4 linked regions of the Pelodiscus sinensis genome follow. The protein of the gene in region 1 purifies or fractionates together with the protein of each later gene. This does not show direct contact. Links are inferred from orthologs where the notes say so. Each region holds a gene or a part of one and is shown in the gene's direction. Other genes may lie near its edges. The genes, in order: HNRNPU, DDX5, MRPS9 and HNRNPA2B1.

What was found.
Region 2: the proteins of HNRNPU (region 1) and DDX5 purify together in Homo sapiens (affinity purification with mass spectrometry; 3 studies listed by BioGRID and IntAct, with this or other methods). This does not show direct contact. The link is inferred for Pelodiscus sinensis from reciprocal best matches to the Homo sapiens genes HNRNPU and DDX5.
Region 3: the proteins of HNRNPU (region 1) and MRPS9 purify together in Homo sapiens (co-immunoprecipitation; 3 studies listed by BioGRID and IntAct, with this or other methods). This does not show direct contact. The link is inferred for Pelodiscus sinensis from reciprocal best matches to the Homo sapiens genes HNRNPU and MRPS9.
Region 4: the proteins of HNRNPU (region 1) and HNRNPA2B1 purify together in Homo sapiens (affinity purification with mass spectrometry; 4 studies listed by BioGRID and IntAct, with this or other methods). This does not show direct contact. The link is inferred for Pelodiscus sinensis from reciprocal best matches to the Homo sapiens genes HNRNPU and HNRNPA2B1.

What each region holds. Positions count from the first base shown.
Region 1 is NC_134713.1:132,534,136-132,541,634, reverse strand, and holds the start of HNRNPU (heterogeneous nuclear ribonucleoprotein U), read left to right. Parts: upstream 1-4,492; 5' UTR 4,493-4,681; coding exon 4,682-5,393; intron 5,394-6,328; coding exon 6,329-6,440; intron 6,441-6,554; coding exon 6,555-6,628; intron 6,629-7,499. UniProt on the Homo sapiens protein: DNA- and RNA-binding protein involved in several cellular processes such as nuclear chromatin organization, telomere-length regulation, transcription, mRNA alternative splicing and stability, Xist-mediated transcriptional silencing and mitotic cell progression.
Region 2 is NC_134730.1:20,752,753-20,760,303, reverse strand, and holds the start of DDX5 (putative ATP-dependent RNA helicase DDX5), read left to right. Parts: upstream 1-4,535; 5' UTR 4,536-4,707; coding exon 4,708-4,733; intron 4,734-6,119; coding exon 6,120-6,285; intron 6,286-6,499; coding exon 6,500-6,596; intron 6,597-6,678; coding exon 6,679-6,812; intron 6,813-6,957; coding exon 6,958-7,023; intron 7,024-7,550; coding exon 7,551-7,551. UniProt on the Homo sapiens protein: Involved in the alternative regulation of pre-mRNA splicing; its RNA helicase activity is necessary for increasing tau exon 10 inclusion and occurs in a RBM4-dependent manner. Binds to the tau pre-mRNA in the stem-loop region downstream of exon 10.
Region 3 is NC_134711.1:233,198,886-233,206,069, forward strand, and holds the start of MRPS9 (small ribosomal subunit protein uS9m), read left to right. Parts: upstream 1-4,170; 5' UTR 4,171-4,265; coding exon 4,266-4,349; intron 4,350-7,184.
Region 4 is NC_134712.1:197,287,071-197,294,955, forward strand, and holds the start of HNRNPA2B1 (heterogeneous nuclear ribonucleoproteins A2/B1), read left to right. Parts: upstream 1-4,879; 5' UTR 4,880-5,029; coding exon 5,030-5,104; intron 5,105-7,885. Other genes in the region: CBX3 (chromobox protein homolog 3), read right to left, coding at 3,171-3,251. UniProt on the Homo sapiens protein: Heterogeneous nuclear ribonucleoprotein (hnRNP) that associates with nascent pre-mRNAs, packaging them into hnRNP particles.

The sequences.
Region 1 (7,499 bases):
TGTAGCCGTGTTAGTCTGGTCTAGCTGAAACAAAAAACAGGACTATGTAGCACTTTAAAGACTAACAAGATGGTTTATTAGGTGATGAGCTTTCGTGGGCCATCTTGTTAGTCTTTAAAGTGCTACATAGTCCTGTTTTTTTGTTTCAGCTAGAATTCAGACACTGAAAGAAGTGGACTGATGTCAGACCCCATCCTCCAATGACCACTGAATGCATCAAGGGAAGCACAGGGTAAAAGGGGAGAAGATGGGAGAAAGCAAAACTAAAACTGTAGACATTCAGAGAAGTGCCCCTGTCTGTCTCTCTCAGTCTGGAAGATGTAAAGGATCGGAATTGCTATCAGACACACAGAAGACTCCTGCCATGTGACAGACAGAATGGCATAAATAAATTGGAATCAGTCTAATCAAGGCTGTGCGTGGGATGGGGCGCTGATCAAACGGCATAGCTTCCACTCGCTCAGGGCCCAGTCTAAAACTTGTGATAGTCTGTTGAATGATTGGGTCTCTGAGCAAAAACTGCTTAAACAGTACATGGGAGTGTGGAAGCTACTGAGTATATGCTGCCACTCCTTCAATTTCCATATTTTATTCTGGGGGGAGAGGGAGAAGGGGGAAGAAGGATGGAGAAAGTCCTTCCAAGAACATGGATGACAAAAAGCAGTGGAAACTAAGGACCATGGTCAGTGGGGGCCAGGAATTTGAAGAGAGCCATTTAGTGATAAGGAGAAGTGAAGTTTGGCAAACGAAATAAGAAAACCAGACTCAAGGAGTAAATGTGTATGCATCAATGTCAACTAGGAGGAGACCGAAGTTAAACTGTAGCAGGGCGCAAAATAAGCGTTCGAAAGACACGCTCTAAGAGTATCTTTGAGGGATGTTTCAAGAAGAAAAAATAAACTAAAATAAATGCAGAATAAGTAGAGAAGAAAATAGACCCCACAAGGAATTAGGGTATTATGGTTACTTTAATTATAGCACCTACTTGTCACTTTCAGTTTAGATGCACAAGGGTGTCTTTTATCATGTGACAGAATGGTATGTGCCATAAGATCTAGAATATGGACACTTGTAATTTAACATTAGTAGAGGGTTTTTATATCTGTCATTCTAGCTGAGTAACTCTAAGTTTTATTGTGGTAAAACAGTTGCTACTAGAACTCCCTATTTTCAGAGGTTCATAATTGTCTAAAGGTGAATGTTTCAGATATGCTTGGCTGAGCTGAAACAAGGGGTGATGAAAACTTGAGTAAAGTCCTGTCCTCTCAGCTGTCTAAGCTATTTTAAAAAAAGGGGGGGGGGAATATATTTCTCTCATGCCTCCTAATTACACTTTTTGTTTTTAAAATAGGGCTATAGCCCCCCCCCCCCCCAAAAAAAAACCTTAAAATTCTGAAACATTTATAGGACTCAAGACTAGTAAGTCTTTTATTTGGGAAAAGATTGTCTTTAACAGAGTGATTGTATGACTATAATGTATCTGTCACTTTTCAGAAGCCTACTGATGCTAGTTCATACAAAATGAAGCTAAACAGGGTTCTATGTGTATCTTAATCATTTTCATGTCCATTCTTTCTCAGTTCCAACTGCCAAAGACTCCTATCAGAGGCAGCAGCATGGGGGGGGGGGGAGAAGAGGAGGCTGCCACTGAGCAGCCTCTGTCTGCAGCAAGAACTCCAAGCTTTGCAGTAGCAGTCCTTATCCACGGGTGTCCAAGCTCCCCATGGAGCAGCTTTTGTCCATGGAGAGCTCAGACCCCATGGACAGAGGCTGCTGCTACCCCATGCTGCTGCCTCTGTATCAGAGGCAGCAGCACAGAGTGGCAGGCAGCCAGTCTGTGCAGGGAGCTGGCTTTTGAACTAGTTCCCTTCATGGACCAACAGAGGCAGAAGCACAGTGTGGCAGGGGACTCCCCGAGAATGGGGTTGGCGTACACTGGCTGCCATCTCCGCCCCTGGAGATATTGAATAGTTGTGTAACTGCTAAGCTTTCACATAGTTATAGTGAAATTGAATAGTCAACGTCCCTATTATAGGTGGACACTTGCTGCAGCATCTGACAGGGTTTTTCCACCACAGTAGTTAATCCAGCACTCCAGCAGTAGCCAATGGTGACTGCATTGGAGCTTGGGACATAATTTTTCACAATTCTTAGTAATGCAATGTAGATACATTGATCTAAGTCTTAAGTGTAGACAAGGGATAAGCAAAAGTGGTTTAATGATCAGAGGTGCTGAAAATCCCACCTCCCATTAAAATTCAATGGGTGCTGCATGTGTTAAACATCTCTGTAAAATTAGACTTTCTATTTAGGTGCCTAAATATTACTTTAGGATCCTAACTTTAGACCCCTAAGTTTGAATGTTTTGGGGGAAGTAAATCTTTCAACATGCATGAAAATCCTTAGCCGTTTTGATACTCCAGGGTTGCTCTATAGATGTATAAGAAGAGTATTACTAAAGTTGGCCAATATGATTGAATGCATACAGGGATTTGATTTCTTGATGCTTCCTTACAATTGTCTTCAGTGTAGGACTATTGTTGTGAGTCAAAATGAGGGTACCATTCAATATAGATGTGTGTTAAGTGGATTAAGGCAGGAGCTAGTGCTTACGCTAAAAGGAGCCCATCAATCTGTAAAGCTTGGATCTGAAGCTAGGGAGTAAAAATTCCTGGTGGAAGCTAGGATTTGTGTGTTTCAATGGGCAGCCATATTAGTACATGAATATGGTATTTAGGTTCATGGAGTCATGTGATATCAAAACTGAATCCATTCATTGTTAGGGTTCAGTTTACCCTTTCGCTTGCAAAGAAAACCCCAAAAATGGCTTGTAAACTGATGCAGCGTTGTCTGCAAACTATAGGAAGGCATCTTAAAACAATAAATCTGGCTATGTGTACACAATGTCACTTACAGTGGTTTGTGCCACTTTCCACAGCTCCCATTGGCCAGAATGGCAAACAGCAGCTAATAGGAGCTGTGGGTAGCCATACCTGCATCCACAAGGTAAACAACCTTTCTGGCTTACCCTGACGAGCCATGTGTGGCCTACCAGCCTTAGGTTGCCCAACCATAATTTAGATGAAAAGATTAGGGTTTGATTACCTTTGTTGGCTAGCCCTGACCAAACAACAACCTTTCCCCTAATACAGACACAAGCTAACAACCTTGACCTCTCTTTAGCTGGTCCAGATTGACATGAGGCTCCCTATTTTAGGATTCACTTGGCAGCTCTAAATTTGATGTAAAATCTATTAACCTTTATAAATGCTAGAAAAAGATCAGGGCTATCACCACCTTTCCTCTAATATTCTTTACAGGCTGTGTGTGCGAAAGAGCGAGTCCTTGCTGCTGTCACCTGAGCATTACTCAGGGTTGATTTCAAGGGAGAATCCTCCCTACTCGAGGATTATTTTTTTTTTCTGATGACTGAGCAATAATATGAGAGCTTTTATGAACACAGATGCTGTACTGCTTTAATTATACCAGTATAGTTAATATTGTACATCACCCTTAGTGATGTACAATACAGCTTATTCTAGTTCAGAAAGGAAAATCAGTTACACCAGTATAAGGCACTTCTATGCTAGTATAACTGTGCCCATGGTAGAGGTCAGCCTATTACAATATCAGTTATCAATCCTATTCATAACTCAGTTGTACCAGTATAACCTTTTTAGTGTAGACAAGGTCTAAACTAAATTGGTTTAAGCACCTTCATATTGGTATAACTGTGCACCCTAAAAACATTTTACTGGTGTAACTGCTGTTATGATCAAGGCGGCACAATTTTTATGGGCAGACAAAGGCTTAGATCCAGGAGGTTGGATCCTACTATGCTTGTGAACTCTGCAGACTGACTAGGTGTGAGCTGTCGGGTCCGTACTTGGATTCTGACTCTGTAAGCCAATCGGTGAAAGAGGACCCTATAGGGAACCTGAGTGATGTTCAAGCAGGCACAATTTGTGTACATGGAGCCGATCACAGGAGTGGAGCCTTCAGTTCCACAGACTAACAATGTATTTTTCCCTTTTTCTGATGGATGATGTAGATGGGGATCCCACAGCTTCCTGAGGCAGAGCCAAAATACTCCAATTTACCCTTCTGGAAGGGGAGACTACATCTTTTCTTACTTATTGGGCAACATGCAAGATTTAAATGGACACGGTACGGGATTGTAGGTTGAAGCTTTCTAGCTAGTCAGCTGCACTTCCACTGCTCCTGTCTATAATCGTGGTCAGCCAGTGGCACAACCAGAGTAACACGCGGGGGCTCTTTGGTAAGAGCACTGGTGTTCCTCCTGTCCCATGAAAGGTTCATACCTGCCCCTTTCGCGGCGCTGCAAAAGCTGGGGCTAGGCAGGTTGAATGCGCTGGGGCGGGCATTTACGGTAGTGGGGTTTTGGAGGCGCTCGGCGGCACTTACGGTAAGTAGGAAAGGGGGGGGGGGTATATTGCGTGCGCGGGCAGGGCGGGCACCAAGCTGCGTGCTCGCCCCCGCGAGGCGCGTCTCTCCCTCGCGAGCTCGGTGAAAGGATTTGGCGCCAGGCGGGTCCGCTCTGCAGCTGCCGCAGCCGCACGAACCAGCCGCGCCACCCACCCAGCCGCGTCCCACCGGGGCCTCGACCCAGCGCCGCCGCCCGACCGAGCCCAGCGCCGCCAGGCACCGCGCCGCCGCCGCCATGAGCTGCTCGCCCGTCAACGTGAAGAAGCTGAAAGTGTCGGAGCTGAAGGAGGAGCTGAAAAAGCGGCGTCTCTCCGACAAGGGCCTCAAGGCCGAGCTCATGGAGCGGCTCCAGGCCGCGCTAGACCAAGAGGAGGCCGGCGGGGGAGGCCCCGCCGGCAGCGCCGCCGAGCCCGGCAACGGCAGCATGGAGGGGGAGGCGGCCGGGATCGGCCAAGGGGGAGGCCCCGACCAGGCCGCGGCCTCCACCGCCGAGGACGACGAGGAGGAGGGGATGGAGGCGGCCGATGGCGACGCCATGGAGCTGGGCGAGGAGAACGGCGACCGGGCGGGGGCCGGGGGCGGCCCGATGGAGGAGGAGGCGGGCGGCTCGGAGGAGGAGGAAGAGGAGGATGAGAACGGAGACGACCAGGGCTTCCAGGAGGGGGAGGACGAGCTCGCCGACGAGGAGGAAGAGGAGGAGGCTGAGGCCGGCGACGCCAACGGGCACGGGGAGCAGCAGCAGCAGCCCCAGCAGCAGCCGCCGCCGCTTCTGCAGCCCCAGCAGCGGGCGCCCGCCAAGGAGGCGCCCAGCAAAAGCGGCGCCCCGGGACCCCCGGCAACGGCGCCGGCCGCCTCGGCGGGCCCCGCCAAGTACCAGCCGCAGCAGGACAAGAAGAAAGCGGAAGGCGGCGGCGGCGGCGGCCGCCCCGGGCCCCAGGCTGCCGGCGGTGAGTGCGTGGCCGGGGCCTTTCCGGGAGCTCGGCACGAGATCCGGGCCCTGCCCGGCTGCCGAGGGGATTCGCGCTCCTTATTCCTCCTCCCCCCGCCCACCGGCGGCCTCGTGGGGGGGTGTCTCGGGCAGGTGGGGTCGCTGCTCGAGGGCGATGGGGGAGGGCGGGACCGTTGCGCCAGTCTCCGAGCGCGGCGGGGGATGGGGGGGGGGAGCGAGGGGCATGGGCTGCTGCGCCGTGGGGGAGGGGCGGTTCAGGAGGGGCCGCTGGGGCGCGCTGTATTGTGCAAACGAACGTTCGGCGGCGTGACGTTACTTCCGTCCTGGCTGCTGCTCAGGCTCGCGTTTTTGGAACGCTCGATACAATGGAGGCGGAATCCCCTTCCCTGCGGCCAGGCCCCATGCGGAGCTGCGCCGCCGCCAAGCTGCGCCTGTGGCCACGCGGGGAGAGAGGCGCAGCAGTTGTGTAGCGCCCTTGTGCTTGGCTTCACTGTGCCCGCGGCGGGAAGGGAAGGAGGGTGTAAACGATCCATTTAATACAGTGAGCTACTGGTCTGCTTTCTGCCTAACCTCCCATTTGTCTGAACACAGCAGGTGTCTTCTCTGTTGAGCTTGTACACACAAGTTCATATTATTCTTGTCACATTTTTCACAAGTCTGACGATTCATGAGGTAACTTGAAATCATTGTCAGATTCTTAGTGCTGCCGTTAAAATTTGCAGTGTTGTCCTAATAGATTTTATCTAAATGATTAAGAGCACACCAGTTACCTGCCCAAAAATTAAATGGATATCTTTTATATGGAGACTTCTTACATGTTTGAATTTGAAACCTGGCATTTAGGGAAATACCACCCCAGAAAACTAAAACTAAAACACATTTCTCAACAGGAATTACCTTAAACATATTTTTCTCTTAACTTACTTTCTGTAGGCGATACTAAAACAGAACAAAAACCTGGTGATAAAAAGAGAGGTGTGAAGAGGCCTCGTGAAGACCATGGTCGGGGATACTTTGAGTACATTGAGGAAAACAAGTACAGCAGGTAGAGAAACTTCAAAGCACTAAATATTATTAGATCTCTGAAGAGAAGCCAGGTATTAATTACTTTGTAAAAACAGTTGAGGAAAAACTCATCAAATTTTATTGTTGATTCTAGGGCCAAATCTCCTCAACCACCTGTTGAAGAGGAAGATGAACAGTTTGATGATACAATGGTTTGTCTTGATACTTGTAAGTACTTTTTAAAAAAAATTAACGACATTTTTTTAAAAATAAATTGCTTGATGAATTGTAGTAAGAACATACAGATTGCTTTCATAATTAAAAGTGACTTCTGAAGTCCTTGAGGCTTATGCCCTTTTTCTGTGTTTTATGGTATATGAAGAAAGCCTGGGCTTTCCTCTTATTTTGTTCTCTGTATGATGGTTCTTTTAACTTTAAAAATATTACCCCCAGTTTTGCTGTTGAATTAGGCTGGGGAAAGGGCTTCAGGGTGAACTTAAACTTTTCCAAAAAGTTCACTGGTTACTGAAGCAGGTCTTCTCAAATGAGATTCAAAGTGGAGAGGAGAGAATACAGAGGACCTAAACCACAGTGGGGGAGGAGGAGGACCTCAGGCTGGTTCAGATTGAGAACTTAATTATGAAATATGTTCAGGCTCTGTTATGGTTCAGCCCTGGTAACTTGGGAGGAAAGAAGCAGTTTACCTCAATTTCATAGCTTAAACACTACACGGATAAGAGCAGTATTGCGATGAAGTAATCCTGCTGATATTAATAAATTAGAACAAACCATATGTTGACTTCTAATTGATAGTCATTAGCTCAAAGCAGGAATGAGCTGGTATACATGGAGAATTCTTACCACTTGGGTACAAACCTCATAAGGCAGTTAAGTTTTATTGTTCATTTGTAAAGTGAACTGTACATTAGTGTTGGAATTAATTCAGCACTAGTATGTCCAGTTCAAACCATGTATTATGTGATTACAAATTTACTATGAAAAAACAATGGGGAGAAAATGACCAACTTGTGAGCCCTTGCTGTTGCCACTAAGGCTAAAGTGTGTGGGGGAGGGGACTTGGTCTTTAAGATGTGACATG
Region 2 (7,551 bases), on another chromosome or scaffold:
GGATTGGCCGGGAATTAAAGATTATGTCGTGATTAAATCTCCAGAAATAAGGTTAAACAAAATTGGCTACCTTATAGCAAACCCAATGAGAACAACAACGGTGTCCCAAGGAACTCTTCTCTTTGCCCTGGGAGTGATGTGCATTTCCCTGCACCCAGTGTCCTAGGCAGGGTTGCCAACTCTGAGGTACAAAAAAACTGGAATGTTCAGGATGATCTTGAGTTCATAAAACTAGACAGCTGGCAAAGTGTACTGAGCACCCTTACAACAGATTTCCCATTATAGATATCTCGAATCAGGGATGCTCCTGTAAAAACAAGGACAAGTGGCAACCTGATTCCTACTGCCCACAGAGAACAGTCTAGGAAGGACAGTGTGGGTATGCCCTCACAGGAAGCCTCCCAGAGAAAGTAATAGGGTCATATCAGAGGGTGGAGCACCCACAACTCCTGACAGTAACAGTGATGCATAGGATTTCCAACTCTCCCAGAATTGATGGACTGAACACCATTTGCGGCAATGGCATCTGGTCCGAAATGGCATTCTGTTGGGAAAGTTTGACACCCTAGTGATGCAGGGTATCATTACATACACAGAACAACGTAAGTGTTCCAGGACCTATGGAAAGAGAGGCAGGGGTCCCCTTGATCCTGGTTTGAGTGGAACCATTAGTCTGAGAAATGTTCACTAATGGGTAGCACAAAAATTCTTACTCCTTTCAATGGCTCTAGCTCAAAAAAAACCCCACAAACCCTAAATCCTATAATAAACATCACTTCTGCATCTCACTCTTTTTGTTTCTTCCCCTTATCTATGTTCATTGTCTATCTTCACTTTAAATTCATTGAAGCAGCAGCTATGTGTTATGTTTAAAGCATCAATAATCGTATTACAAGTCAATAATGCATAATGATAGTGAAAAGTCTTGTATGTTGACTCAGAATAACATAATGAATGATAGAAAGGCATAACAAACAGTTCTACAGACTGCTAACTAAAGACATACACTGTACATCTAATCACTCTGAAATAGAGTATTATGCAAGATTACTGGATGTAGACTTTCAAGGCCAAATTCAGGTGTCGAGAAGGCTTGTCCCAGTAGATATAGAATCATAGAATCATAGAATAATAGGACTGGAAGGGACCTCAAGAGGTCATCGAGTCCAGCCCCCCGCCCTCAAGGCAGGATCAAGCTCTGTCTACACCATCCCTGACAGATGTCTATCTAACCTGTTCTTAAATATCTCCAGAGAGGGAGATTCCACCACCTCCCTTGGGTGGTGATTCCACCACCTCCCTTTATATGAAGTACTGGGGGAGGAGACGGCACAAAATGAGAGAGCTCTGGTCAAGTTTGTCCTAGGAAATGCTGGGAGGAATTTGTCAATAAAGGATTTAGTTTAAGCTGCTTTTCTTGAACATAGAGGATTGGGATTAAAGGGAAATGAGGCTTCAGGAGTGCTTGGGAAGATAAGAAAGCACAGGAAAGTTTTTGATCTTGAAAGACTTGTTCTAGAGTGTAGGAATGTTGGGGACTCTTATCACCCCAATGCAGGAGAAAACTTTGAAAGATGTTGCCTGCTTATGTTTACTCCCCTTTACTGCTGTCACTGAAGTTTCCAGCTTTCCTTAGCTGCAATAGATATCCAGTGACCTAAACACATTTGCTTATCCATGAAACAGTGGCTAAAAGTTTTCAAAATTCTATATTGCATCAATCCATGTTACCCCAGAATCTGGAGTGCCCTGTTCATTAATATCCCAAACACATGTAATGTATGGTACCTGAAGAAGGCTGAAGACAAAAGCATTTGGGATCTTAATTACTAGTCTGAGAGCAGTGAATTACAGTGACATACAAACCAGAAAGTCAATTATATTGACTCTAGTACCAAATCTGGGTTTCAATATAAGCAGAGACCTCCATAAAGCCATGACTTAATTGATAAATGAACATATCATGCCACTTGGTATAAAAAAGGAAGGAGCAAAGGAAAAATCAAATAGCTTTGCATATTCAAAATATAGCATCTAAGGTTTCTTTGTAAACTCCTTGGGAAAATAACCATCTTTTTATTCTTTATACAGCAGCTACCACAATGAAGTCCTGATTCATAGCTAGATGCTATGGGCGTCCAGTCAGAAAACAGAATGTGAGGAATGATTAGGAAAGAGAGAGATAATAAATAAGAAAATGTAATACCTCTATATAAATCCAGGGTATGCACACATCTTCAATAGTGTGTGCCAATCTGGTCATTCCATCTCAAAAAATATATTAGACTTGGGAAAGACACAACAGAGAAGGGCAACAAATATGATTAGGGGTATGGAACAGCTTCCGTATGGGGAAAGATTAAAAAGACTAGGACTTTTCAGCTTGAAAGAAATTTAACATCGGGAAGATGATATAGGCCTATAAAATCTTGACAGATGTAGAGAAAGAGAATAAGGAAATGTTGTTTGCTCTTTCACAGAACAGAAGACAGCGCTGTCCTGTGCTATGGACAGTTGAGGAGCAACCATCCCAGGATCTGCGCTTTTGGGGTCAGTGTGGGGCCCAGGGCAGTCCAGGGAATTATCAGGGGGCCTGGTGCTGGCAGCAGAGATTGGGGCCACCCCTGCTGGAAGCAGGAAGCAGTGACACATTTGGGAGCTAGCAGAGCAGAATAGGCAGGAGCCAGGTACTTCTACTTCCTGCTACAGCCAGTGAGTGCTGGGATGGGCCCAACTCCTGCTGCCAGCTCCAGACTTACCACTAATTTAAAAATATCCCATTGTTAGTTTAGTATGGGAGCATCTCCACTGTTCCTAGCAGCAATGGAAGCTCTAGGGAAAACTGGGCATCAGCAGGTGCTAAAGCAATGAAGGAAGAATTTCTGAAAATGGTGCAGATGCAATATGTAGTGAAACATGAGGTAATGTAATGGTAAATGGGTAATATGAAATACTATATGCTGAGTGGGCAACTGATTGCAAGACCAGACTAAGAGTAGTTTCTGTGGGCATATCTAGTGGGGTTCTACAGTGTCAGTCAGGGGTCCAGTGCTTTTAGTGATCTGAATTAATGACTTGGATAATAGAGAATATGCTTATACAATTTGCAAATGACACTAAGCTGGGAGAAGTTGCAAGCACTTTAGAGGATACGATTTCCAAATTCCCTTTACAAATTGGAAAATTGATCTGAAATCAAGATGAAATTCAATAAAAACATTGCAAATATTTCACTTAGGAAGGAAAAATTAAATGCACAACTACAAAATAGGAACTGTCTAGTTAGTAGTACTGCTGAAAAGGATCTGGGGTTCTCATGATCACAAATTGAACATTTTAACAAGGTGATGTAGTTAGAAAAAAGCTAATATAAATCTGCAATTTGTATTAAAATAGTGTTGCAGCTAACACTATAGTTAATTGTCTTGTTTTACTTCACAATGGTGGTGCATCAGCTGGAGTAGTGTGCCTAAATCTGAGTACTAAACTTTTGGAAAGATGTAGGTAAATTGGAGAAAGGCCAGAGAAGATCAATAAAAATTATACAAAGATTTAAAAAAACGGTGAGGAAAAGTTTTAAAACCTGGGCATATTATTCCCGAGAAAAAAACTGACAGAGAAACCTGATACAGGCTTGAAATATGTTAAAGGGCTCTTAGAAAGAGGACCATGAACAATTGTTCTCCATAGACACAGTAATGGACTTGGTCTGCAGCAAGATACAGGAAAATATTCCAAATAGCAGTTAAGCAGTGGAACAGGCTTCCCCGGGGGCTGTCACTGTTAAAGTCTTTCAAGAACAAGCTGGACAAACACCTGTCAGGGATGATCTGGGTTTATCCTGCCTCTCTGAAGGTTTGTGGACCTAATGACCTTTCAAGGTCCCCTTCAGCCCCAGTCCCAGGATTCTACATAAAACAAAGCTCCTGACTCCCAACGATCATGAACCACCTGCGGAGTCACATTTACTAGGTGTGTGTGTGTGAGAGAGAGAGAAGGGAACAGCCATGTCAGAACCTGGGGCTGTTGGGGGCAATGCCCTTTTGATGAGAGTGGGCTGGTTCCCCTATACAGCCTCGGGGCAGAGAGAGGGACTGTGCAGCGCCCCAGCTGGTTAATGCCCCCCTCCCGCTCCTCTTCCATCATAAAGGGGCTACAAAGGACACAGTAGGCCTCTGATGACAACAACGGAGCATGAGGGGGAGGGGATGACACCACCAGGAATGCGCAGGCGCGGGCGGCTCGCGCTCTGAGAAGCGTGGGCGCGAAAGGCTGAAGTTAGGGGGAGGGGAGGACGCCGCTCGAGGGCTTTGGGCACGCGCCTGGAAAACGGAAAGGGGGCGGGGATGCCGGGCAGTGACTGTAGCGCGAGCCACGCCCGAAGTGGAAAGGGGAACTTCCGCCTGCGAGGGTAAAAACCGGCCGGCGAAGCAAAAGAGAAGTCGAGAACCTAGCGCTCGCGGCCACGCCCACAGGAGGGGGAGGGGAATACGGCTGCTTCGGTCTCTGACGCAGGACAGAGGGAAGGGTTCTGAGTTCGCGTCACGACCCGGTTCCCAGCATTCCCTGGGGCGCCGGCTATATAACCGGCGTTCGGGCGCTTCGACGCTCCCCATTCATTAGAGTCGCCTGCAGTCCCTGACCTTCCCGTACCTTCTGCCTCTCGCTTCAGTGCTCGGGCTCGTCTCATCCGCCGCCGCCATTGCTATGCCTGGATACGACATGGACAGAGGGTGAGTCTGGGGCCCCGGCCGGCGCTTGCCGCCGTGTTTCCTCCGAACGGCTCTACCGGCCGTTGAACCATGTAAAATGGCGGCGGGGATGGGCGCCCTCTCCATCGATCCGCGAATGGCGGGAGGGGCCGCTGACTGCGGAGGTGGGGGGCGATGGCATCGGATCCCAGCAGTCGGGGGCACCTGGGGGGGGGGGGGGAGAGTGGTAGGCGAGCCCGGGGGCTGGTGACCGAATGCCGGTGAAGTACAAACTCGGCTGAGCAATCTGCCCTCGACGGTTGGGGATCGTCGGCTCCGGGTTGTGGGGGGGGGGGGGGGAGTTCGGGAACGCGCCCCTCCCCCCGCCGCTGCTCGGGCTCCAGGTCTCCCGGTTTGGTGGCTCGGGCAGTCGGAACCGTGTTTGGCGGTTTAACGGGTCGTGCACGCGCCCCTCCGGTGACCGAAACTGCCCCCTTCCCGCTCCGGAACCGCCCTGGGCAGATGGCGTCTGGGGCTAAAGCCGGCCGGCTCTTGCTTTGTGTTGTGTAAGCGGATGTGAATGGCCGGCCCCGCCATGCGGTGACTGAGGGGAAATCAAAATGCCGGCTGCTGCCTTTGTTCCTCCCCCTCCCCGCCCAGCCTCTAAAATGGCAGCGGCTGGAAAATGTGGCGTAGACAGAAATGAGAAACAAAGGAAACCGCGGCTGCCGCTCCGCCATGTTCTCCGCGGGGGCGGGGGCACTTCGCCGCCTAGCCCGGGTGGATGGGGACGGGGCCTGGAGGGGCGAATAACCCTTCACGGTGCCCGTTGGCCCAGTTGTGAGATGGGGGGTGCGTACTTGGCGGCTGAACGGGATTTGGGGGCGCTGGTGATTTTATCGTTTTCCGTCGAAGGGACTCCGATGCGCTTTTTATTTGGGACCCAGCGTCTTGCGGCCGGTTTTGTTTCCTTACCCGAATTCGTTGCGCTTGTTTAAATTAAAAAGCATCCCATAGGCACCCACTTACGAGAATGTTTCTAGATTTCATAACGCCCCACCCACGGGCATACACTGGCTTTCTTCAATCTCTGACGCACACTGGGAGTGTCACTTCTGTTACCAAGGCGTTAGGGCTAGCCTTGTTTTTGTTTCCAGCGATTCATTTTAAATGCTTTAGAAAATTAGGTGCTCCTTTATCTGGGGTGTTAGGTATTTGGTGACTAATCCTAATCTGCTGCTTGTGGCTTTTATTATACTTTGGAAGTGAAAACGGGCAGCTAAATGCTTTCTCCAAATATTGATGAACACAAATTAGGAATTAGCTATATTGAGAATTTTAGCATTGATCTGACTATGGAAGTGAGTTAACTGTCACATAAGAGACTGTTACATTTTGCAAACATTTTCATGGCTAATAATTTTTTAGGTTTGGTGGCCCTCGATTTGGAGGAAGCAGAGGCGGACCATTATCTGGAAAGAAATTTGGAAACCCTGGAGAAAAACTTACGAAAAAGAAATGGAACCTAGATGAACTGCCCAAATTTGAGAAGAATTTTTATCAAGAGCATCCTGATGTAGTCAGACGCACTGTGGTATGTACCTTGGCTGTTTGCTTAATTAAAATTGTTTATCTGTGCAGGAATTGACACTTAATGTGCTTTTTACTTGACGACTTATTATGTGGGATATGAATCAGTAAGTTTAGAGAAATTATTACACTTCATTTGAATACAACTGATTTCAGTCAATTTGCAATTTTGTTCTAGATAAAGCTTTAAATAATGCTAATGTAATTATGTTTTGCAGCAAGAGGTTGAACAGTACAGAGCAAGCAAAGAAATCACAGTGAAGGGCCATACCTGTCCAAAACCGCTTATAAATTTCTATGAAGCTAACTTTCCTGGTGAGTACAGATACCTGTATATCCAGGGGTTCACTCAGACATCATGAATGCAAGCATCTAATTCATTGGTTCTCTTTTGCAGCAAATGTTATGGAAGTAATTCAGGGACAGAATTTCACTGAACCAACTGCTATTCAGGCACAAGGATGGCCTGTTGCTTTGAGTGGACTGGATATGGTTGGAGTAGCACAGACTGGATCTGGGAAAACCTTGTCCGTAAGTTGTAACTTTACAATGTTCAGGTTATGTAACTGCATTTCCATGTTCAAAGTGTTACTAATACATAAAACTGCAAATCTAGTTACATTTCCTAGTGTTTTAGATATATGTATGTATAACATGAGTTTTTGTTTTCACACAGTACTTGTTGCCTGCTATAGTGCATATAAATCATCAGCCATTCCTGGAGCGAGGAGATGGACCTATTGTGAGTATAAGAATATGAAGCTCTTTTCTTTTAGAGGAATCTGGCTTTCTTAAATGCAAATTGTTGGGGTTGGAGTATGTGGATTGAGTAGAAAAGTTAGGCACTTGAATGCTGCATCATTATAAACCTTGCAAGTAGTCAGTTTCATGTTTTAGCTAGTCCATCAGGCTTAGGTGCATTGTATAGACTGTCCTCTAAGACTGAAGAATTCAAAGTGTGCTTCCCAAAATTGGATTAGCTTGAGGGCATAACCCCCTGTGTCAAAAGATGGCTGGTTTTGAGGGTACTTGTTGAAGGGTATCTTGGCAGTGAAACCTAAAGAAGCCTATTACACTTTTTAAAGTGTTACCGGAAGACAATCTTATCCACTTCTAAAAGATTTTTGGTCATCTTTTGGAATTTGTTTGCCTACATAAAACTTTGACTCTTGTAGCTAGCTTTTCTCTAAATAGATTTGGCAAAAATTGAAAGATTTTGTGCTTGTTTACCCTGCTGGTGTACTAATTTGATATTGACAATGTTTATAGT
Region 3 (7,184 bases), on another chromosome or scaffold:
GCAGGTAGGAGTAGACTGTAACCAGCTACCATCTGATGGGCAGCTAATGAGTGCATTAGGGAAAGGCTGAAGAACACTGTATTGACAGTTTCGTTTCTTGCTGTCTTGGTCAGCTGTAAATGTCAGAACAAGATCAGAAATTAGGATATTGAAGCTGAATCATTCAACTGCCTGTATCAGAACTGCTTCAGATTTGGTACCTTTCTTGGTATGGGAATATTATTAGGTTGGAAGACAGCAAACTCTGAAGTTTGCTTACCTAGGAATGTTTCTATCTGGTCAGTGGTCACTTGATCACCAGACGCTTCAGTGAAGTGATAAGATTGCTAGTGATGGAAATAAACTGACTATCCAGCCAGACCATCTTAAGGACCTTGTTAGAAATTGATCAGGGTGGTGCTCAACCTGCAAGGAGGCTACCTTAGAGTGGCCACTGGTGTGGTTTTAAATCAGTCCTCTTTTGGGGTGGCTTGTCCTCCAGTCAGTACTAAGACAAAATCTGGATGTTTTGTCCAGTATGGGACGGGGAATGCCATTTTGAAGAGTATACTGCTCCATCCCCTCAAGTATGATTTTGTGGCAAATTCATCTCAGCATGGGTGGGCCCATGCTGTTCCCAGAAGTACAAGAATGGCTGGTATTCTAGAACCATGTGAGTGGCCATTCTAGGCTACTTTCCTTTAGGATTTGTCATGATGATGATGAAATGGAACATAAACATGATGCAGAGTGGAGGTGCACTTTCAATAATCAATCTCAAGCAAAGAGTTATCCTAAAAATGAGTCTTGAGAGATCTGTTTAAGAAAATAATTGGAAAATAATAAAAGTTTCTGAAAAATGCTGAAAATGTTCATTTCTATTTTCTTTGGCAAGATGCTATTGTCAAAATTCTCTGACCAGATCTATCTATCTCAGTGATGAATTCCATTTAGCTCTGAAGACTTGCTACCTATATGTAGAGGCTGTGAAAATATTAATCAATGAACCCTACTCAGCAGAAAACTGTAACAACTTCTAAATACAATATTCCTACTTCAAAGTAGAAGCTGGGAATGGGTGACATGGAGTATATAACCTGGTGATTACCGATTATGTTCACTCTCTCTGAGGTGCCTGGCATTGGCCACTATGGCTATGTCTACACTTCAAAGTAGGAATAAGAGATCCTCCGGAAAAGGGCTTTCCCCAAGCCGGAAAAAAAGCGGCGGACATGTTTATTTAAATCCGCGGGGGATATTTAAATCCCCCGCGGATTTCCCTATCCTGACTTACCTGATTTGCATGGCTTTTCCGGAAATTGTGGCCAGTGTAGACGTAGCCCCTATGTTCATGTTTAAACTTTTGGTGCAAAACTGTATATTCTTGTGGTATCCCTAGCTCAAAAAAGATATATTGGAATTGAAAGGGTTCAGAAAAGGATAACAAAAAAGATAAGGGATATGGAACAACTTCCATATGAGGAAAGATTAGAACGGTTGGGATTTTTCAGCTTGGAAAAGAGACCATTAAAAGGGTGGAGAAATATGATAGAGGTCTAGGAAATCATGACTGGAGAAAATACATAAGGAAGTTTTATTTACTCTTTCCCAAAACATAAGGGCTACGTCTAGACTGGCATGATTTTCCGGAAATGCTTTTAACAGAAAAGTTTTCCGTTAAAAGCATTTGCGGAAAAGATCGTCTAGATTGGCATGGATGCTTTTCCGCAAAAGCACTTTTTGTGGAAAAGCGTCCGTACCAATCTAGACGCACTTTTGCGCAAAAAAGCCCCAATCGCCATTTTCGAGATCAGGGCTTTTTTGCACAAAACAAATCTGAGCTGTCTACAATGGCCCTTTTGCGCAAAAGGACTTTTGCCCCGAACGGGAGCAGCATAGTATTTCCACAAGAAGCACTGATTTCTTACATGAGATCGTCAGTGTTCTTGCGGAAATTCAAGCAGCCAGTGTAGACAGCTGGCAAGTTTTTCCACAAAAGCAGCTGCTTTTGCGGAAAAACTTGCCAGTCTAGACACAGCCAAGGACTAGTGGTCACCAAATGAAATTAATAGGCAGCAAGTTAAAAACAAAGAGAAGTATTTTTTTTACCCAATACATCATCAATCAATGAAACTCTGGCAAATTGTGCTGCGAAGGCCAAGATTATAACCAGGTTCAAAAAAGAACTAGATAAATTCATGGAGGATAGAACGATCAATGGTTGTTAGACAGGATGGATAGAGATGGTGGTGTCCATAGCCTCTGTTTCCCAGAAGCTGGGAATGGGTGACATGGAGTATATAACCTGATGATTACCGATTATGTTCACTCTCTCTGAAGTGCCTGGCATTGGCCACTATGGCTATGTCTACACTGCAGCGCTATTTCAGGATATTTCCGGTATCCCAAAATAGCTATTCCGTGTCTTGACAGCACGCCTGTTATTTTGAAATATCTTTCAAAATAATGGGCTCACTATTCCGACATCCATGTAAACCTCGATCCATAAGGATTAAGGAAAGTTTCGGAATAGCACTTTATTTTGAAATTTAGTGCTGTGCAGACAGTGCAAAATTACAAAAAAAAATCTATTTAGAAATTGACTCAAAATAAACTGCGCAATTTGTGTAGCTCAGTTGTGTAGCTTATTTTGAGCTAAGGGTGGTGTAGACACACCCTGTCAGAGGACAGGATACTGAGTGGGATGGACCTTTGCTCTGACTTATATGACAGCAGGTTACTATTGTTTTTGAAGCACTTACAGCATGCAAGGCACAAAATGAAGAGAATCCGTGACATAAGGGATTTGTAATATGAAGTCCACAACTATCCCTAGCAATGCTGGTGCCTACACAGCCTAGCACCTGCATCCCCTCTGCTCTCACGGTGGGGCTGCGAGAACAGAAAATATGGGGCACAGGAGTACACGAGGGCAGGGAGTTTCACCTGCAGCTTCAGGAAAGCAGGTGGAGGTGTCACAGAAGTGGAAAGTGCTGCTTTTCTCCAGTTTGCAACTGGGGGATCAGGCTGGCCAACAGACTTGATATGCAGATGCTTGTGCACTATGAAATTGGGAGCAATTTGGTACCCCAAATTTTGTGGAGCCCTACATAGTTTGTGTATCAGTAGGGAAGCCCTCATGAGGTCTCTCCTCTATTTCAAGCAGATTTATTATTATTTATTTACACAGGTAACTTTATGGAGAAATCCCCTTATGTCAAAGTAGTTATATGCCACCCATTTGCAGGGTTATGGCCCAGATAACTGGAACAGGCAGAGCCTAGATGAATGAGTAGCTAACATGCACATTACTGCATACAACCCATGGGACCATTAGCCTGATGTGAGGTGCAATACCAAGCACTAGATATAGGGATATAGGGCTGGAAATAATGGGCAAGTGACAATGCACTGCCTGGTGCCACCTTTCCCACTGCAACACTCAAGCCACATGTCCTGTTAGCTCAAGGAAACAGTGAGGGGAACCCATAGTTGCTGAAAGTAAGGGTACAGGGAGGGGGTGCTGCAGCACTCCTGGCAGTAGCAATGCTTGGCAGGAGAAGGAAGTGGGCACCTGCCCTGTCTCTTGGCATTCACTTGCTTTGCCCCCACCCCACCCTTGCTCCACCTTTCCCCACAAAACCTCTTCCTAGTACTCCCCAGAGAGGTGCAGCTTGGGACCTGCCCAAATGGGCTGGAGATGTCAGACTTGTGTCTTCCCCACCGCCAGATAGTGGAAGGGGAGGAATATAGGGTGCCTCCACATGCACCCCTACCCATTGCCTATGACCCCTGGCTTGAAGTAGTTTCTATCATACACAGGGTTTACAGTTTGGTTCAATGGCTCTTAGCACCACCCCACTATCCAAGTTGTTCCAGCCACCCTTGCTGCTCTGCCTTAAACCCGCTCCTGCCCTTGTAAAGCCCGGCCCAGCCCAGCCCAGCCCAGCCGAGCCGCGCGCCCTCCCCGGGCACATTCCATTGGGCACGCAGCTCCGCGGCTGCAGCGCGAGAGGCTCGCGGACAGGGGTGAAGTCGCGCCCGTGCGCGCGCGCGCCGGCTCCCCCGCCAGGATCACGTGAGAGCAACAAATCTCGCCTTTCCCCCCGCACAGCCAATCCGCAGCCCGACGACAGCCGAGCGCCGGCCCTTGCCCCTGTCAAGCGGTTCAGCGCGCTTGCGCCGATGCCAAGCTGTTTGGGTCCTCTCCCCCCGCCCCCTCTCTTTTCTGTGGCTCCTCCCTCCCCCGGCTCGCGCGACGCTGACAGCCCTGGACGGCAGCAAACATGGCGGTGGCCGTTAGGCGCGTGCTGCGAGCGAGCCGCTCCTGGCGCGCGGCGCTGGGAGGCCAGGAGAGGTGGCGCGCGGAGGTAAGAGCGGGGGGGGCCGGAACCGAGCGCTCGCTCCCCCTCCCCCTCCCCCTCCCCCTCCCCCGGGGCCGTTTAGGCGCGGGACCTAGGCCTGGGGCGAGCCCAGCCCGGCGGGTGCAGGAGCCGCCTCCCGCCCGGCCTGCCCCCTCGGAGCGGGGGACGCTGGGATCGGGCCGCAGGGCACCCGGCCCGGCAGCTGCTTGGGGCCCGCGGGCAGGTCCCGGCTGAGCGCGCCGGCATCGGGTCCCCGCGTGGGGTGCGGGGCGAGCGGGGGCCTGTGAACAGCTGGCACCCCGGAGCGCCTGGTCCGGTTCCCCGACACCGCCCCCCCCCCCCCCCGTGCGGCCCGACCTAGCGCTGCCCGAGCGCGCTGCGATGGGAAACCCTCTTCTGTCCCACCCGCCGTAGCCCTGCCGCTGTCGCGCCCCCGGTGGCCTTGGCTTAGGTCTGTATCTTTACCGCCCCAGGTGAAACGGCTGTCAGGCTGCTAGGTGTGTGCGCCTGTTGGATTAATTCAGCAAACTGGCACAACTGTTGCAGGGGCACATGGGGAATATAACTGCAGCGACCTGGCGGGCTGCCTCCTTTCTTTATCGCCCACCCCTGGAATACCACGTCTTGCCCATGTGTGGTAGTCCCTTTACTATAGGCTACTAAGGCCGTGTCTGCACTGCACTTTTGTTGTTAAAACTTTAGCTGCTTAGCTGGGGGGGTTTTAAGTTGCCTTGGAATAACAAAAAGTTTTAATAACAAAAAGCCCTGGTGAGGACAGTGGTTCATCAGCAGAAGAGACTCTCCAGGCATGGACATTACCACCGCTTTTGGAGGGTAGTTTTATTTTGCGCTCAGAGAGCTCACTCGTGACAAAGAGCAGCTATGCTGCTTAGTGCTTACCGTACAGTGGCTCAACTTTAGCAGCACTGCTGTGTTGTTTTAAGGTGTGCACTGTAGATATAGCCTAAAGCAGGACTACTTGGCTTTGGAAGCCCCGAGGGCCACAATAATACAGCACATGCTGAGGGCTGCAATTTAAGTGTGATTGTATATACAAGCAAATATACATGGAAATAGCTTCTTTCACGCTGACGAGCATGAATACAAAGATTAAGCCTAAAGCCATGGTGCCAGACACAAATATGGCCAGGTGTAAGCCAGTCATCACCCCTCAGGCTCTACCCTTGAGAAGCTAAGCAGCCAGCATTTCCCACAATGCCCCAGCACTCCCGGCTCCACCTCCCTGGGGACTAGAAATGCTGACATCCTACTTGGAAGACCTTACAGTGGTACAATACAATACAACTGTGTCACTGTAAGGGTCATAGTATAGCTATAGCTTGAGACTGTTGATTTTAAGTCTGGAAGGACTAGCATGATGGTCTGGTTTGACCTACAAAGTGTAAGGCAAAGAGCTTCACCCAGGGATTCATGCAGTGGAGAGGAACTTATTCTTTTCTGTTATATACACAACTGTTATGTGGGTAAAGGACAACATTTCTTTCTGTAAAGATGGTCAAGTCTTTGACTGAAAGACTACAGAGATGATGAGTTGATGATTTGTTCATTGTTAAAAAGTCGAATTATTGCTAATTTGCATTTACAGTTTGAAAAGCAAATGTAAGTCACCCATAAGGTCTGGTCTAGGTATTGTGTTGACCATTGTATTAGCAATGCTATATTAAAATATATAGTAATCTCACTAATGATCTAGAAAGAGGGTGAAAGTGACAAAATTTTGAAATGACATCATAATTTAGGATGGTGAAAACTGTGGAACTCATGAGTGACCTAACAAAGCCAAGCAATTAGGCAACAGATGACAGATGATTCACTGTAGTCAAACACAAGATAATGTATATTGGAAAGAGTAACTCAATCTATTTACATTAATTTCTGGTTTCTAAATAACTGTAACAATTCAGGAAAAAGACTTGGTGTCCTTGTGGACACCTCAAGTGTGCAATAGTGGTTAGAAACAAACAAAATATTCAGGTGTTCTGCACAAGGGATGGAGTATAAATAATACTGAGAATATTGTACCACTAATCTATATGTTGAGGTACAGTCCTAGTTTGAAAATAGTGTCTGGTTCTGGTCAGCCCATCTCTCAGATGTAGAGGGTCAAAGTGACAGGTAATGAGACTAATTGGAGGACTGGATAGACTTATGTGTGAAGAGAGAATGAGAAGATGAGGACTGTTTAGTTTACATTGGAGCACAATGGAGCTATTACACCAACTAAAGATGCAGACCAGTTAGTAATGTAAAGCAAGTAAGTGTGTCACTCCTATTTATTCTTTCTCTAAATGCAAGAATGAGAAGATAGCCTGTGAAAACCCTAACCAAGTTTCAAGGAGTTCAGGGGGACTTATTCTCTATTAGGGATGTTAAATTTTGATTAATCAACTAATTGAGTAGTCAATGGAATTTCCATCGACTACTTGATTAAACTACCCTGCTGTGCCTCTCTCTTTGAAGAGCTCCCCTGTACATTTCCAAGGGAGAGGTGCAGCAGTCAAGACCCCACCGGTTCCCTCCAGCACTGTCTCCACGATTGGGGGTAGGGGAGGAGAAGGGAACAAGGGAGGCAGAGGTGTCGCTACTGCTGTGGCTCTCTTTAAAATGTACAAGAGCTGCCTTGTTAGCGGGGGCAGGGAAAGCTACTATTCAAGTGACTGCTCTGTTATTCGTTAAGCTTACATCCCTATTTTCTACACAGTATTGTTAGTTTTATGCTCATGTGTCTTCACTGACTTGAGTGGAGTTTAATAGGTGAAAATTGATGTAACACTAAATAAACAGGACACCAGTATTTCAAATCTGATACTTAGACCTCTG
Region 4 (7,885 bases), on another chromosome or scaffold:
CTTCAGTGTATAATCACTCACCTTGTAAATGTTATACAAGTGAAAGATATAACATTGATGTAGCATTGTGGTAGATAGTGTAGATACATTAAAGTCAGACATCAAAGTTACAGTGTCAAGAGAAACATAAACTGTCTCCTCATATACTGGAGGAAGCATGGTTCCCATGAGAACTAAGTTCCTAAAAAATAGTGATTGCATTAACAGGTTCTCTTCCTTGTCTCCAAGCACTTTGAGTCTGATACTAAATTCCAGTAAAAGTTTTTTTAGCTTGATAACTTGTTTGCAATGTTATTGCTTAAACCAGGACTACTCAACAGGCGGCCTGTTTGTTTGCGGCCCATGGGTGGGAGCCAAAACAAAAAAGTAGTCAATATAACGGTCTTCTATTGAAATGAGTTTTAGTAGTTAAATTCCTGGACTGTCGTTGATCATTAAAAGTACCCGATTTCCACGCATATGACAGCAAATATTGCTTTTTATTAATGTCAGCAGAACTGACTTAAACGGGGCCTGTGTGTTGTGTAGTCTTGCTTAATCTTTGTATTCATGCCTGTCAGTGTGAAAGAAACTATTTGCATATATATTTGTATGTATATGCAACCACACTTATTGCAGCCCTTGGCATGTTCTGTGAGTATCATTGTGGCTCCCAGGGTCTTCTAAAGTTGAGTAGCCCTGGGTTATATAGTTGCAGTCCAGTGAAAAATAACTAGGCAATTAACGGACAGGAGACAGGATACTAGTATTTGTGTGGATGTGGGATAAACTAGCTATACTAGTCAGTAAGTACTATTTGCCTATTATTTTTCTACTAGGTAAATAGAGCACAGACTTCCACACTGTTGTCCTTTACAAACATGTACTGCCACAGCTAAATGAATACTAAGCCAACTACTGTGGCATTTATGTGTCTTCAACTTCAGAGTTTTTTGGGCTCAATTTAACATCAAGAATTTTCATAGGAACTTGATACATGTCAAAGTCCTGTTACAATGGTCCAGATAGGGGAAACAATCTCTGCTCCTATGAAATCCAATTGAATCGTTATTTACTAACAGCTCTAACCACAATCCACACTATGCCCCATCATATTAGTATTAGGTAATTGCACTCGTAGTTGTAGCTGAGGAGCTAGGGAGAAGTTAAAACGAATATGCTTCCCCCCCCCCTTTTAAATATACAATGAATTACATGGGGTGCTGAAAGGAGGCTAAAAAATCACAAGTGTTTTCTGTAAAAGGTTATTAAACGTAATTTTCACTGAAAGTCAGAGAGCTGAACTGGAGCACAGGCCTCCATTAAAAAGAGAAGGGATTTTGTTTTGTTTGTAAGTCTTTCACTGGAAAACAGCAGTTTTATTTAAGCCAAAGTTAATGTCCTTTCTATTAGCCTTAGTTTCTGGATCTGAGATTTTAGTCAGAATAATGCTGGGGAGGAGAGATGTGGATGTATCTTCTACATGGAGATGCCAAGTTATAATTTTGAAGAAAAATCCTTATATATTTTAGGTGCTCATGAACTTACCAATGTAGTTTTATTGGAGGCCATTTTTATTGCAGACTTGCAGAGCTTTACTAGAAAAATGCATGACAATTAAAAGGAAATTTAAGTTACTCAGAAAAAGGCATCCCCATACAAGCATGGTCCTTGTTCCAACCCCCATGTGTTCACTGCACATAACATGTCAAGTGTGGATTAAATCCAGAAAAGATTACTGCTTTGTCCAGCAGAATGCACAAACACACCATAATGCTAGTCATGATCCTAGCTATTGATTGTGTATGATAGGTTGCAAGAAAGTCCTACCAGCATAAGGCAGAGATGTTTCAGAGAGAGGTGGGGAGAACCATTTCCTTAAACCCAAGAAGGAAAAGTGTTCAGTTTCAAGCAATTAACTAAGATATTTAACAGCATTTTCAAGATGCAAAAGTGAAATTTTAGTTAGCAACAAAGTATCTGTAGCATAATTCACTAGTGAGTTACCAGTAATCCTGACACAGCAGGAAATATAAACTGCAGAATATTAAAACTATAATGTTGCAAATGTATGGATCAGAAGGCAAGAGTTAAGGCTAATACAGATACAAACTGCAAAACTGTGTACACTGTATGCGAAGACTAAAATGCTTAATTAAGAAATATACATTGAATTAACCTATATAAATTACATAAAAACCACATGGTCTGAAGAAAACTCATCCTCTTTCCCATGCAGTTGCTTACACTAACCACCTCTTTGGGCATACATTTAGTCACCCATCCCTGCAAATCACAAAATGATCAAGGCAAAAAAAAGCCTATATGGAAGTCAGAGGAGGGCTTTGACTCAGCGATCCTGCCCAATTCTCACCCCCTTGCAGCCCGAGAGGTGGTACTGTAGCCAAGAAGTCCAGCGAAGGACAGGCAGAGGCTTGGGCCCTGCTGCTGGGCACTTCATCTAGGATTCATTGCGATTGGAGGGGGGAGGGGGAGAAGAGGAGGGAAACAAAGGCCCATAGCACAGGAATGAAGGGTATGGCTGCGCCACAGGCCTGTGATGGGCGCATACGAGGCCCGGGTGACCTAACGGGACTAGCTGAGCAAGGAGTAGGGCCAACCTGCACGCCAACGCAGAGGAGGAAACCCTGCGCCCCTGCCTCTAGTCGGCGGAGGGAACAGCCGGCGAGTCATGCGTGTTGCCTAAACCTACACTCCACCATTTCACACACCCGCTCTCAAAAAAGGACGAGGGCCCCTTCCCGGCGCCACGTTGCCCCCTCACCGAACACGACCATTGCGCTCCAAGAATAAGCTGGGCGGACAGTGGAAAAACCGCCCTCGGGGCTGGCGGCGTCGCTTTGTCCCCTGAACGCACCCCCCTCCGCCTCTCCCCAGGCTGCACCCAGCGTCTAAGCGCTGCGCTCCCCTCCCTGTTAGGGCCCAGAGCCTTCCTCCTACCTATGGGGGCAAAGCACCCACTAGAGATCCCGGAGCTCAGCTCCCTCTTCCCCCGCACCGCCGCTACCCGCCTTCAGTAGCCACCCTTCAGGTAAAGGCGGGCAGCGAGGGGAGGGGGAGGGGAGCTCCGCAATTACACCCAACACGAGCCCAGCTGCAAGGAATTTTGGGCGCTACCCAATTCCTGGCGAGATTAAATGGGAAACGAGAAGAGAGAGAAGGATACAGACTTCAATGGTGCCTGGCGGTGGCGGCGACTCGGGTTTCCCGTCTCCTCCTTGCTCCCTGCGCGCACTGAGCAGCAGCGACATCTGAGGGGGTGGGGGCAGAGGCTGGGGCGGCTGCTGCGGGGTGGGAGCGCTGAGCTGCGCGGTGGCTGGCGGCGGGGCACCGCGCACAACGCCGCCTACACGTTAGCTGCAGCCTCCTGCCGCCGCCACTGCTGCTGCCGTGTCGCTACCAGTGCAGGCGCGAGCGAGAGGGGGGCCAGCCAAGGCTTCTCTCCCAGAGAGCGGCTTGAAACACGGGGACGCGAGCTCGTCGAGCGCCTGGGCGAAGCAAGATGCCTCGCGGAGACCGAGAGAGCGACTGGGTGAGTGCCGGGGCCCAGCGGAGCGCGCCATAGCCGCCGGGCCAACGGCCAGCCCTGCCTGGGCGCGGCCCCGGGACGGGCCTAGAGGCCGAGCTGGCCGCGGAGAGCTCCCGCATCGGCTGAGGGGCTGGTGGGCTACGAAGGGGAACTTCGGGGGAGCGAGCGGAGGCCGGGGGGGGGGGAGCATTAGAGGGGCTTGGGGGCCGGGGCCCAGCGACCATGCGGCCACTTCCTCGAAGACGGGTGGTGGGAGACCGCGGCCATTTCCCCACTGAGCTCGGCGGGGGGAGGGGAGCTGCCGAAGCGCCATTTCCCCGGCGAACTGGGGCCGCCACTCACCCTGGGCTGCGGGGCCGCTGTGCGCGAAGCTGGCTACGGCGGGGTCCGCCTCGCTCGCGGGCCTGGCAGGCGGCGTCTCGCTGCTGGCGCCAAATCGGGCCACTTCCTCCCAGGCGTCCGGAGGCAAAGGGGCCGCCCCGCCAACAAAGGGGGTCTCAGGGCCGCGCACTCCTCGCGCTCCGGGTTTGGCCCCGTGGCCCTTGCCCACGCTCTGCCAGCACCACAGGTGGAGAAAGGGGGCCCCTTTGGCTAATTATAGTCCTTTTGCTGCTGTTGGGATCGGTCTCCGGGCGGCTCCGGCAATTTCCGGAAAAACCCGAAGCGGGAGCTTCGGCTCTATTCGGACGCGAGAGGCTTTCCCGCTTCTTTGTCGGAAACTACCGAAGAGACCTTCGTAGTCGAGGAAGCCTGTTTCGGCTCTTTCCGGAAACTGCCGAAGTGGATCGCGCTAGTTCGGGCTTTTCCGGGTCTTGCCGAAGTGGAGTTGGTCCACGACGACGCCTGCGTCGGTTCTTCTCGGAGACAGCCATTGCTAGCGGAGCTGTTGAGCTTTTTTACTACGTTACTAAAGCACAAAGGAGCGTTCCGCAGAACTGCGGGCGCTTCCGGGGAGCATTTAATTCCACTTGCGGTCCAAGCAGCCGGCGACAGTTAGAGGAAAGGGAGGGGCGGACGGACCATTGCCTGACGATGCATTTAAAAATACGTAACAAGGCAGCCATTACTAAAAAGGTTGGGTCGTATTCTCAAAAAGGGTTACGCCGGCCATGAGGTGGGTGGTACGCAAATAGCGCACGTCTCGGGTGTACAGTTGCGCAAGGTGCGTTTCGGCTCGCAAGAGTTAGTACTCTTGCGTCATGGCAGGCATATTCTTAAAACTGTTACGCTGTTAGCGCAGCGGGAGGCGTTCGAACTTCCCGTTCGCTAATACGCTTGGTGGCGCAGTGGGCGAGTCTTGGTGCTTTTCCGTAGTAGAGACGTTAGAGGGGAGGAAGGTTCTGGAAGCGCCGGCGGCAGTTGGGCTGGTGCGCAGCAGAGGGAGGCGGAGGCACACGCTGCGGCAACAGCGCACGCGGAGGCGAGCCCTAGATCCGCCTCACAGACGGTTTAACCGAGCTCCTGTCGCTCTAGCGAGCCGCGTGCGCTCTGGGGGTGACAATGGAGGGCAGTAAGCGAAGCGGGTCTATGTCCGGGCCTGGGAAGCGCCGGGATCAGTCCGGGGAGGCGCAGATGGTAATGGCGGTAATGAGGGGGAGGGGTAAAATGGCGGCGGGATGGCGGGGAATAGACCCCGGCTTGCCGGGAAAGGCCCGGAGAGCCCTGCTGCAGGGAAGCGCCGCCACGGAAGAGTAAGGGGTGGCGGGTATGAGGGAAGGGTGTGCGGAGCGGAGTAACTGTTACCTTGCGGGCAGCCTGTACGGAGCAGGAGGTGATGTAGGGGTGGGGGCACCGGGGTTCCCTGTCCAGCTTGGCTGGGAGCCGGCGGGGTAGCTGAGGGGGGGCTTTAGGCATCTAGTTTTTTTACGATCTTGCGAGCGAAGCCGACCCCTGTTCTTGCAGTAGCGCCAGGCAGAATTTTTCTCGGCGGCATCGCTCTCCCTAGGGTTGTTGCTTTTAGGCGCCATTTTCCTTCTCTCTCCAGTGGCGGGTGCCTCTGTCTCCCGGCATTGCCACATGGCGGGCTCCGCGCAGCTGCTGCTCTGACCCTGGAGATTGCAGGCCCTTGCCCCGTTGGGAGGGTGCTGAGGTGGACTTGCGGAGGCACCGCTACCGCTCCTCTTGAACAGACCCGTACGGGTAACAGTCGCGGGGAGCGGGGAATTTAAACCTCCTCCCCCCCCCCCGCCCCACACACACGCGCATGAACTTTTTGGCGGGCACGCAGTACTCGGATGCTGATCTGAAGCTCCTGCTCTTTTACCTCTTCCCGCCATTTTTGTTAAGGTCTTAAGCTGCAGTTTGCAGCAGGTTATGGCCATTCTTTGTCTATTTCTGTAGGTATTGTTCTGTAAAACACATTCCTTGTGGCTGGACTCTTGCCTTCTCAATAGAGGCTCAACATATCCCCATCCTTGCAGATTCGCTCATGCTGTGGGAGAAGTACATTCTTGAAAGCTTCAAAGCTCGTTTATACCGTATTTTTTATTATAACTTTGTACAAAAATAGACGTTCTCACCGAGATTATAAATGGAAGGTAGCTGGACATGCTTAAGTTGCCACAGGTAACATTTAGGCCTTGTTTTCACTACAAACATTAGGCTAGTGTAAAGTTCTCCTGCCCTGCCCCATGACATTGTGTAAGTTAGAAACACTCTTCTATCAGCAAAAGTTCCATCTATATGAGGATTTTGCCACTTAGTTGTTAGGTATATGTTTTTTTCCCCCTTTCATACATCGTTATGCTGCTGCAGACAATATAGTGTAGGCCTGGCCATATTGTAGTTTCCTATTTGGTAGGATGCTAGCCAAGGTTGTAACAGTACTTTTAAGGAAAGAGACTGTTCTCATTCAAATCTCAGTAGCAAAGTAATATCTCCTCTCCTCCCCAGTATAGATATGTTCTAGGTAACACATGTTAAAATCACAGTGTAGATAGTTTTAAACATCTCAGCAAGACTGTAAATAATAGGGGGGAGCTGGAAGTCTGAAAATGGAGTCCATGTTCCACCCAAGGCAGGGCATAGCATGGGATCATGTACAATACTGATTTACTCAAGTACATGCTATTTTTGATGCACCATGTGGTAATTTAAATATGAGACTCCAATGTCAAACTTCAGAATAGTTCTGTAGCTCTTGTGGCTGCAGCATGAAAGCTTCAGTGCTGAAATTAAGCTTGTCATGCTTACTACTCCCCGGCCCCCCAAGAAGTTCTGTGCACAAAATGTTCTCAAACTTTCTTAGCGTAACCAATGTAAGGTGTAGACACCCTAGTTCCCCCTACTGAGTTACCTCTTTTTCCTTCCTAGTCTCACTGGTTGTGTGGTGAAAAATGACAGTTTTGTATATATTTTTGTTTCCTTGGTAACTACAGTGTCTTGCAAGTGTCCTTCAGATCCGCAGAAGTTTCATGTCATATATTCTAATAGGTAAACGGTGTGGGTGAGGTACTGTTTTTGTTTGTATTGGACCAACTTTACTCTAACATGATTTACAGCAACACTGCTTATTCTAGTAGCTCTTGTTAACTTGGCTTATAATACTTTCTGAAGATGTGTTATGAATATATGTAGCTTATACCAAATGATAGTAGTGCCTTGATCCAAGTTTTCATTAGCAGTCCATTTCCCCAAACCCTGTCTCAGCTTTGCCCCACTCCAGCTAAGTTTGGAGTAATTTGTGAAAAATATTTATGCAAATATCTTGTAGCATTAATATAGTGGTCCAAATATTCCCATTGAGCAGGGGTTCTCAAATTTTATGGCACCACAACCCCCCCTCTGTGCAAGAACAATTGTTAGTTTGATGCCAGTATGGGGCTTGAAGTCTGAGTCAGACTAAACCCTGGGTTGGGCCGGGTGGGGGAGGAGACAAAGCCCAGGGGCTTCAGCAGGAGACTGAAGAGGCCTGTTGCCTTAAGTCCTGGGCTAAAGCTCCTCAAGCTTTGGTTGCATGCTCCAGAAAGACTAAGCAAGGACAGTTAACCCCATTAAAATGGGGCTCGTTCTTCCCATATCTTTCAGTTGGCTGTAACATTAGTGTGTGGGTGTTTTTTGTTTAGTTTTTAAATCCGAGTGGATTTTTGGAACTTATTTATGGGTTAGTACTTAATCATTCAATTTTTGATAAGACTGTGTGGTTGCTGCTTTAATCAGGCTTTGCAGATTGTCTTACAGCTGTGCAGTAATTAGAAATATGAAATTGAACAGTAAAAAAGGTATATAGGTTTGCATCGACAGTCTAGTGGCTGCAGAGCCTGAGAGAGGTAGCAGGATATGCAGCTATATCAAAACCAGGTTTGGTATTTTCTTAAATAGCTTCTTTTAGCTCTAAGGGTGCACCATTGAAATCTT